Arabidopsis thaliana: one gene and its partner. The protein of the gene in region 2 interacts with the protein of the main gene of each other region in a pairwise test. Each region holds a gene or a part of one and is shown on either strand. Other genes may lie near its edges.

Region 1 (5,464 bases), on a different chromosome or scaffold from region 2:
GATATCTCCAAATCGATGCAAAACGTAGAGGTTGCAGAGGTTGATCCTCCTCCGTTGATCCGCCAAAACTCCAACTTCATGTTCTTGTTGGAAAGGTCAGATTGAAGTAGTCAAAGTTCCCTATACCCGATCGATCGCTAGGACATTTTCAGATTAGGAGATCAGTATTGTGCTTTCAAAAACAAAGCCTGTACATTAGTACATATGCCTATCTTTGCCAGTGGCTTTCTGGTACTGTTCTACTATTAATAGGGGTATATTGGGTAGGAAAAAATATATATATGTGAACTAAATATTTGTTGTGTCCATGCGTTGATAGGCCATTTGCTTAATGAATTTTACTTTGTTTATCATTTTTCAAATTATTAGTTTTTTTTTTTGTCACTATTGTTCTTTATTGACTGATCCAAACAAGTTTACAAGGCCAAAGTTGAAGCCCAAAATTGAAGCCCAAAGTATTACATCAAGGAAAAGATCAAAAGAAGGATAACTCTTGCGTTAGTTAATGTGTCAACAACATCGACACGTGGTGAAAACGTGTTGCAAAAGAAACATTGCAATTTCCCGTCATCCTTTACAGTCTAGTCTTTAGTTATGTTTGTATGTTTTTGGAAACATATCTGTGTTAAGAGATATTCCCTTTGTGTATAAATACACTGCTAGTGATTGTAACTCGGGGGTACTCAGACAGAAAAGCGTTTAGGGAACATTTGTTCAAGGTGTTACTGCCGCCATTGCTGGTAGTGTCTCCGCTTTGATTACAGTGACATAATTAAAGACTAGACTGCAGGTTCTAAATGTGGAAGATAGTAATAGTAGTAGTAGTAACGATAGGAACTGCAGTCTGACTATCTACAGACGGTTAGAAACTTGGTCGGGGAAGGTGGTTGGACGGCTTGTTACAGAGGATTGGGACCAAGCTGCGCTTCTAGTCAATGTGTTCTATGACTATGATATATGATATAAACAACACCGGAATGGAGTGTATGAATCTGGTTTAGCTTTACTAACTATGAATAAGCAAAGAGCAGAGACTTATCGGTTATCAGATTTACATTTACATTCATCACTCCAATCCAATCACTGACTTAACACACGATGATCCATGGTACAAACGACAGACGAAAAGTAAAGAGTTGAAGCTTGAAGGTTTTTGGTCATTCAAATGATATCTGGACAAAGCGTGTGAAATAAGAACTAGCTAATAAGCGAAGTAGCAGCCAAGGATGACTTCCCTTTTTTTGTAGGAACGTACACATTACCAGATTCCACCGGCTCAGATATGGACAGAGAAATGGTGTGTGTTCCTACCTCCATGCATGTCATTTGATTGACCATGAACATACATTGTTGGGTTTGTCTGAGATGGGCAATCTGATATCAGAAATTCAGAGTGTCCAAAGAGATTAACGCTGTCAGAAGCAGATGTGATGTCAGAGCGAGAAGTGGTTGAACAATCACAGTCATTGCTGTTCTGCAACTGATAAAGCACAAATCTTGACATGTTTCCCGTTGCGTGTTGCTGTTGGATTGGCATGTCTTGTTTTGGATCTGTAGATTCTTGAAGCTTTTTGGTGTTTAGGAATCTTCCACCAGATCCTCTAGGTCGTTTAAGAGCGTGAACATGTCGAGATTCATGAAGATACGGCTGTATGATATTTGATAATGAGTTATGTTTAGTCATTAAACCAAAGTAAGATACCGAAACGCTGACCAAAATACTATACCTTACGGGCTTTGATTAGTTTGTTTTGCGCCTCTAGCTTAGCACGCTGTTGCCTCCTCCTCATAATTGCATGGAATTGCTTTGCATTGACAAAGACAGGCTCATTCTCTATGAGATCGAATGGTAGCGGAACTCGAGTCATTTGGGGATTCCATATCTGCAGAAAGTTTTTAAGCAAACTGAAATCTCAAATGGAGAAATAAATTGCAAGACTAATTCACCATTTAAGGATGGCATTTCTTTCTATAGCTGTATATGTAACTACTTCAGAGCATAATGTTACATAACAAGTCCACCTTAAGTAAAAATGAGGTTTAGCATAAATATTCTCCTCACCATATGTAATCAAGGAGGATATACTTACTGTTGCCTGTGGTAGGTAAGCCGCAGGCATTAAACCACCAAAATGTGGATCGGCATAGTGAAATGAGAAGTTAGCCTGAAACCAGAGTATAACACAAGATGTCAGTAAACAATCACAAGTACTGCTTATCGTCACTCGTAGTAGATATACGGGTACCTTGGAAGGAGAAGAGTGAATATCAGCGATTCCTGCCGTGGAGGAGCCTGATTTAATTGCAAATCGCTTCCTTTGAGTTTCTTCAAATCCTTTACAAACATCTGAAAGAAAGAGAGCGAAAGATAACATTTTCAGGACAAAGGGATGGATTCTTTCGTAAATGGGACCAAAGATCAAGCTAAAACACCATGCGTCTTCAACATAATAGATCATAGTGAGTTGTCTAGAACCCAAAGTTGTTTAAAACGGACCTGAATGTGCTAAAAATGAGATTTGTCTTGAGGGGTTATCATCTCCACTACTTGTAACATCGTTAGAAGATTGAGCAGAGGACAGAGTTGAAGATGAATCCTGGTCCTGGAAACTGATATTCTTTGTGTTTATAAGACGTTCTGGTCTTGCATCTACCACCTTCAAACTCAGTGATTCAGTCACACCATTGGATTTGGTTGGAAGTCCCCATGAGATGGAAGTACTAAGGTATGGTGGAGTTGAATGTGCCACAGAGCTAGTAAATGAAACTTTCTTATCCATGTGACTCAGAGGCAACAATTAGCTCTCTCTCTCTCTGCTTCAACAGAGAAGATTGATGATACATGTGTCTGTCAAAGAAGCTCCAAATTCAGAACATCTTTATAAATGATAAAACTTTCAAAAGATATTTATTCCTGGAAACAGCAAAACCTTTGACGATGTAGTAGACAAAGAAGGGGATAATCCAAAAAGGGAAAAAAACCCAGAAACAGAGCAACATTCAGAACTATTTCGGGCAAACTATTAGAAGAGCGCGGCAGAAAAAAAAGTAAAGTTCCGACCAACTAAAATCAGCACCATTACTTTCGTCCTAAAAGGCGTTGACTTGGGAAGAAATTTCCAGAAGATTTCCGAATCAGCACATCACTCTAAAAAAAAGCGAAGAAATGACGGATTCAAAGAGAAGGAGATAGAGAGACCTTACGGATTCAAGGAAGAGATGAAGAACAGGAACTCAAGGGATGCCTATCAAAACAAAGTAAATCTCTTTTCTCTTTTGCTTATTCTCTCAGATAGATACTCAACAGTGTGTATGTGTGTGTGTGTATTCTTTTGATGCTTCATTTCCGTCACTCACAATTTTCTCTCTTATAAAGTCATTACCTTTCCAACAAAATCACCAGCTCCATTATTAGCAGTACCGCCACCTTCATTAGTATTTTTAATGCTTAATTAATATATTAGTTTTCTAATCTTATTGACTTATTATTTTGTTCACTTAACAAAGTAAACACTTATCTAGTTATCTGCCTATCCACTTTACAAAGTAAAACTATCGTCAAAAGCCTAATCTAGTGAGCAACTATATGGCAGCTGAAGCATCTAAAGCAAAGCTAATCTGCCTACTCTTTGTGTTTATGGACAAAATCTTGAAGCGTTCTTTGGATATAGTGGAACTCAGTTCCAAAATGCGAGTGGAAAAGAGAGAGAGAAGCAGAAGCAAGGGAGACTTGAAATGTAGTAAGTTTGTTACTACCTGGTAAATTACAGAAGAAAGCACACAGTTTAAGTCTTGAGGAAGCTGTTGCTGAGTCTTGAGTTTCACTTGAAAACACGCAGGAGTAAAATCACAAGAGCAGCCACTAGCGTGATGCAGATAGGGATGCCTACATACATAACCGCATGTGTGATCTTGGGAAGGCGGATGGTTTGGCGATTTCTTGTGGCTTGAGTTTTCAGTACATAACTCGACATCTCAGTTTCTTGGAAGTAGTCATTTCGTGTATGTGCCTATAAAAGAAGGGAGATGATAAAGGGTAACTACATCAATCATAGTAGAGACGGATCAAGAGCCAAGTATTCACCTCCTTGTTTGGTATGTCCTCAAAATGTTCTGCAGAACCAGCTTCGAGAGAATCACAGCCGTGTGCATCGAGAAATTGGAGAGACAAGGGAAGTTTTTCCACCGATTTGAGTTTCTTGCAGTTATTGAGGCAAAGTGTTACCAATGAGGTAAGATCTCTGATGCTTGATGGCAATGTCTCAAAATCATGGTTGCTGAGATCTAAACATGTCAACTTGGTGAAATGACTAAGCTGATCTGACAATGATTCAACACTCTTGCAATTTTCAAGGCAAAGCTCAAGCAAACAGTATCTTCCCTCATCTTGACTTGTGTTAGATAGTTTCGCCAATGATCTAAGGTTCCTACAGTTGGTAAGTGTAAGTGTCTGCACCTGAGTTAGCTTTGGCAACTCCTGGAGCTTAAAGCAGTTTTGAAGCCAGAGAGTTTTTAACCGGGAAAGGCTACTCATAGCTTCTGGTAAGTTCTCAAAATCATTTCCGCTGAGGTCCAGCTTCTCTAGTAAATCCAGGTGACAAATCCCAGATGGGATTTTCCTGATGTTTAAGTTCACTAGTTTTAGCTCTTTCAGGTCGGGAAAATCTGGAAAGACGTCAAAGGAGAAAGATTCACCGTTTTCTTTGTGGCTGAACCTCATGATGCGGAGGGAATTGAATCTGTTGCACTCTGAGATGACCCAAGGTGCTTGTTGCAGACTCATCGCCGATATAATGGGTATCTGTTGCTCAGAATTAAAAGAGACGTATTCAGCATATCCTCTAAATTTTGAACGAAACTCAAAAGTAATGTCTCCCCCAATCGATATGTTTATAAGTGCATCCATTTTCACTTTTGCGTCTGGGAACTCCAATCCAATATGTTGCTGCCTTGTAGATTTTCGTAGAAAAAACCGCAGGGCACTTCTACGCCCTCCACGGTAGGATAGCTTAAGCTTCTTTAAGGTAGACCTTTTTCCAATACACTCTGGAATGCCCTCCAGTCTCGTGCATTGTTCCAGAAGCAATTCCTCAAGACTCGTGATACTTGAAAGATCTGGAAGTTGCTTGAGATGCTTAGATCCCGTCACATCTAGTCTCTTCAAACTCTTCAACATCTGAGCAAGATACAACAACACATGGAAATAGTTGGAATTATGTTTCTCGCAAGGATTCTCTGTTTTCACACCATTGCTCTATCAAAAACACAAACACAAGATGCAGAATCATAGAAAAGATTACCGGTGTTCCACTCCAGAGAGTTTCTAAATCACTGTGACGCAGATTGAGTTCAACAAGAAAACATGGATCAGAACCGGAAGGCAGGGCTCTCAATGGAAATGCATCCCAATGGAATAGCCGTAGGCTACGAGGCAGGAACGGTTGGTCTGGAATGAGTTGCAGAT
Region 2 (4,117 bases):
TAGTGCAAAAATCAGGAATGACGAACGAGATATAAATAAAGGCGCCAAATGGTGCCATCTCTTCGTAACTTATTTGGGCCTATAATAAATAATGGGCTTTTATAGGCCGTAGTTAGGCCTTATTTAAGTATTCATCTCGCTATTCTTATTTTCTTTGTTTTAATATTTGACTTTTTGGATATTTTTGGTTACATTTGATCAGCAAATACAGCAACAATATGATGGAGAGAAATCTTTGTGATTTTTAGTATTTGTAACATCATACTGTAGAACCAATGTGATCATAGTGTAAGGCTATATATATAAAGAGGCCTTTTTTCATCCCTGAAGTTCTGTAGAATATGCTCTCTCTTTTATTTGACAGCTAAAAAATAAACATTAATAAAAAGGAATAAAATCGTTTTCACTTTTTTTTTGAATTGTTATTGTATCAGTTGATGAGAAAATACTGCAACGATATGATGAAGAAATTCTTAATGATTTTTAGTATTTGTAACAATCAAACTATGATCTCAATATAGTTCTTTTTTCAATCTATGATTTTAACTTCTCGTTAGAATATTACAAATTTCATATATACTTCAGTTTTTTTTTTCATTAAGAATAAAAAATAATAAGTAGATAATAATGCTTTTGCCGAAGGTCAAATTAAGTAAATAAAGAAATTAAGTGGACGTAAAGAAGATAGCAAAAGGTCAAACTTTATCATAGTGAAATTCCTACATGCATGGCAAAGCAAAGATACTCGATAAACCATCAAGAACTGAATAGAGAGACTAATTTAGAGATTTTGATCGTATCATTTGAGTAGAAAAAATATGACAAGATAATTTCAATAGTTTCTTGCAGTCGAGCTAAAAGAGTCTTCTACGTCATCATCAAGAGCTATCTTGTATCCAGTTGGCAAAAAGGTGTTAAATCCGATAATCAATTCGTTGTGCTCCTTGAACAACTCTTTCAATTGAGCAAACGCAGTATGACGACCAATCCTGTGAATGCAAGAAATTCTTTGAGCAAACTCATCAAAACCTTAAGGCTAAACCAAAAAAAAAAAAAAAGCAATCATCTTACCTTCGTGCCTTCAAATCTAACAAAATATTCTTGAACATATCATATTTTTCAATTTGATCATGAAACGTATCTTTCACTTCCATAAAGTATGCCCTACATTCAGCCATAATGTCTCTTCTTCTTCCATGCCTGCACCAAAACCCAAAGAACAATAGAGACAGACATTATAACATGTTCCTACACATTCACGTAATAAAGAAAACTAACAATTCGCCCACAAGCCAAAAGAGGAATTCAGAGAGTCGCAAGTTTTGAAAGTTTACAGTTATCTTTAGACAAGCAACAAGTAGCCCAAAAACAACCCACGATAGCACCAACACACTTAAAGATTAGGAAACTAACCTTCGAGACCTTGGAACGTTTATTGCATCAGGAGTCCGCTTGGAACGTTTATTGCATCAGGGATAAACAAAAGATAAACAATTAGAGAGGTTACTTGGAAAGATATGAAACAAATCAATCAGATCTTTGAAGCGAGAGCAGAATCTAGAAGAAGAAACACTTCCATCACCGACGATTATACATACATGTACCAGAAAATGTTCTAGGCAGATACGATTAAGCGTTGCGACTTGTGATGAGAAGAGACCCAAATCACAACGCATGACAAACAAATTATAAATAAAGGCGCCAAATGGTGCCGTACGTTTCTCTTCGTAACGTCGTTGGGCCTAAATTAATAATGGGCTTTTATAGGTCGAGGTTAGGCCTTATTGTAAGTATTCATCTGCATTTCTTCTTTGTTTTATATTTACTAATATGGATATTTTGTTACAGTTTCAGTTGATGAGCAAATACTGCCACAATTGGTCCGTATATGAAACCGTGACTGAGAATTTTAGACCAAACTCTGTTCTCAATTGTTTATTTGTCAGTATTCGATATGGATTCTTGTTAGAAATATAAATATATTTTTGCTTCTGCTATTTTTGTGACATTTTAATGAAATATATATTTAATGTTATGTGACAGCTTTGAATGAGAGCCATTATATATATTTTTGTGACATTTTACTATGTTCATTTGATAAGCTTCTTGCTTCTGCTATGATGATTTTTTGAATAAATTTTACATGTCAGACTTTTAGAGATTTTTGTTTATCATTAAGAATCTTTGATAATAAAAAATCAGAGCAGAAGTAATATAATCTTGACTTCTTGAGTAATATAATATTTCCAAAACATTTGATAAATCAAATTCAAACCAAATCTTTGCCACCAGTCAGTCACATGGAATGAGTAGTGACCATCAATAGGCCCTCATGTAATTTGCACTTAGTCACATGGGTGTATATCTATAAATTTAAAACAACAATATCAATGTGAGTTATTGAATCATGTATCAAATTAATTCAAAAGCAATAATATCAATGAAACACCTATATGTTAGTCACAATAGTCAGGTAACTTCATCATGCAAACAATAAAAAGGACATGACTAATATGTGACAAACCTATAAAATTGGTATCAAGTTGGAAAAGGCCAAACTTTAGGTCGGCAATAGAAGACAAATTCCAATAATCAATGATCTTTCCCGAAATTTCTGCACTTTCTCAAATGAAGAAAGTCCAAAAAGATCTCTATACAACCATATCAAAGTATCGGATAATCAATACAGTTCATTTGTGTGAAAAACCACGTAACCATCTCTATGACAAAACTCTAATTTGCCATTACCGGCATTGCCGTGGTCTGAAATTCTCAGTAGATAACAAATAAGTTATGAGTTTCTCGATCCGTTTAGCTCCAAGACCAGGTTTAATAACCGACGTATCACCAATCACCGCACACGGATCGCTCCCGTTTTCCCTCGTACCAATACACCAACCACCCGGAGTGACCATCCCGTGACTCCGAAACAATAGTTCCGAATCAATCTTATCGAGAACAGGCTCATCTCTACGGAATTTCCTAGCAAAAGGAGCGTTACTGTCCACCATTCTCTGGAAATCATCTAATGTAAGATGGTGAGGATGTTGCTTTGGAGGATTGTCCCATGAGATGAAATGTAAGTCACTGTTAACCGTTGTGTTGGTAAACTCTCGAGCATTGCAAATCACAGTGTGGAAGTAACCTTCTGGCGATGAAAGGAAGTTTGCGTAATACATTAACACAATTCGAGGAAGATTATCCCATCCCCATATGAAATAATCCACAAAAGGTCTAGATAACATCATCCACGCAGATCCTATTAACCAACAACATCAAAAAACCATTAGAGCCTAAGAATTGTTATATCACATCAATGAGTGTAACAAGGATCCTACATTTAAGGAAGACTCTACATTTAGACATTCCCATTATGTTGATTACCCAAAACAGGAAAGATTATGAAAAATGAAAGCACCTGTGAAGAGTTTGAAAGCTGTAGGCATACTTCTCTTCTGTGAAACCCAGAAAACATCAGCTTTCTTTGACATATACAAACCAGGATCAATAATTATAGGCTTTGCTCTATGAGACCTATACAAGTTTTTACCAAAATTATCAGAGAAAGTTGCCAAAAACAAACTGTTGTAGATTGTAATGTAGCTAGCTAAACTCACTCTTTCCAGCCAATGTTGCTTGTATGATCGATGAAATTGAGATCTCGAGGAAGATACGAAAACGTATGCAACAGATCTGAAAATCGAATCGACATAATAAACCTCAAATGATTCAATTAAAACAATAAACAGAGTCTGAGATTATAAGATCTAAATTTCGTTACCATCTTGTGTTACGAGAGGATAATCAGAGGCACTGAGATTGATGAACCAATCCCAATCACCACCTTCACGAAGCAAAATCGCTGCAGCGTGAAGTGTATTAGCCACCATAGTTGGACCACGATACGTAACGAAATTAGCCTTAACAATCATCCGAACATTTTGAAATCTCTGAAACAGAGTATGATTCGCCACAAAACCACTGAGATCCAATCGTTCCTCCGGTGAAGATTCCCGATCGAGATGAACAACGTACTGGTTGTTGGGATGATAAAGCGCCATTAGAGTTCGTTTCAGCATCTGACCGTCACCAGAGGAGCCGGAGATTAGATAAGCGA

What was found. Proteins that work in one complex are often made in the same cells at the same time.
Region 1: the proteins of AT5G15040 (region 2) and NF-YA8 interact in a two-hybrid assay, tested with the Arabidopsis thaliana proteins (one large-scale study listed by BioGRID).

Annotation. Positions count from the first base shown.
Region 1 is NC_003070.9:6,049,205-6,054,668, forward strand, and holds NF-YA8 (nuclear factor Y, subunit A8), read right to left. Parts: upstream 3,425-5,464; 5' UTR 3,200-3,424; exon of another isoform or gene 2,849-3,199; 5' UTR 2,781-2,848; coding exon 2,498-2,780; intron 2,348-2,497; coding exon 2,247-2,347; intron 2,166-2,246; coding exon 2,091-2,165; intron 1,884-2,090; coding exon 1,728-1,883; intron 1,649-1,727; coding exon 1,277-1,648; 3' UTR 960-1,276; downstream 1-959. Other genes in the region: MYA1 (myosin 1), read left to right, coding at 1-105; AT1G17600 (Disease resistance protein (TIR-NBS-LRR class) family), read right to left, coding at 3,822-4,010, 4,085-5,176, 5,301-5,464. UniProt on the Arabidopsis thaliana protein: Stimulates the transcription of various genes by recognizing and binding to a CCAAT motif in promoters.
Region 2 is NC_003076.8:4,869,076-4,873,192, forward strand, and holds AT5G15040 (Paired amphipathic helix (PAH2) superfamily protein), read right to left. Parts: upstream 1,667-4,117; 5' UTR 1,414-1,666; intron 1,201-1,413; 5' UTR 1,179-1,200; coding exon 1,072-1,178; intron 990-1,071; coding exon 833-989; 3' UTR 679-832; downstream 1-678. Other genes in the region: AT5G15050 (Core-2/I-branching beta-1,6-N-acetylglucosaminyltransferase family protein), read right to left, coding at 2,745-3,259, 3,419-3,534, 3,618-3,693, 3,782-4,117.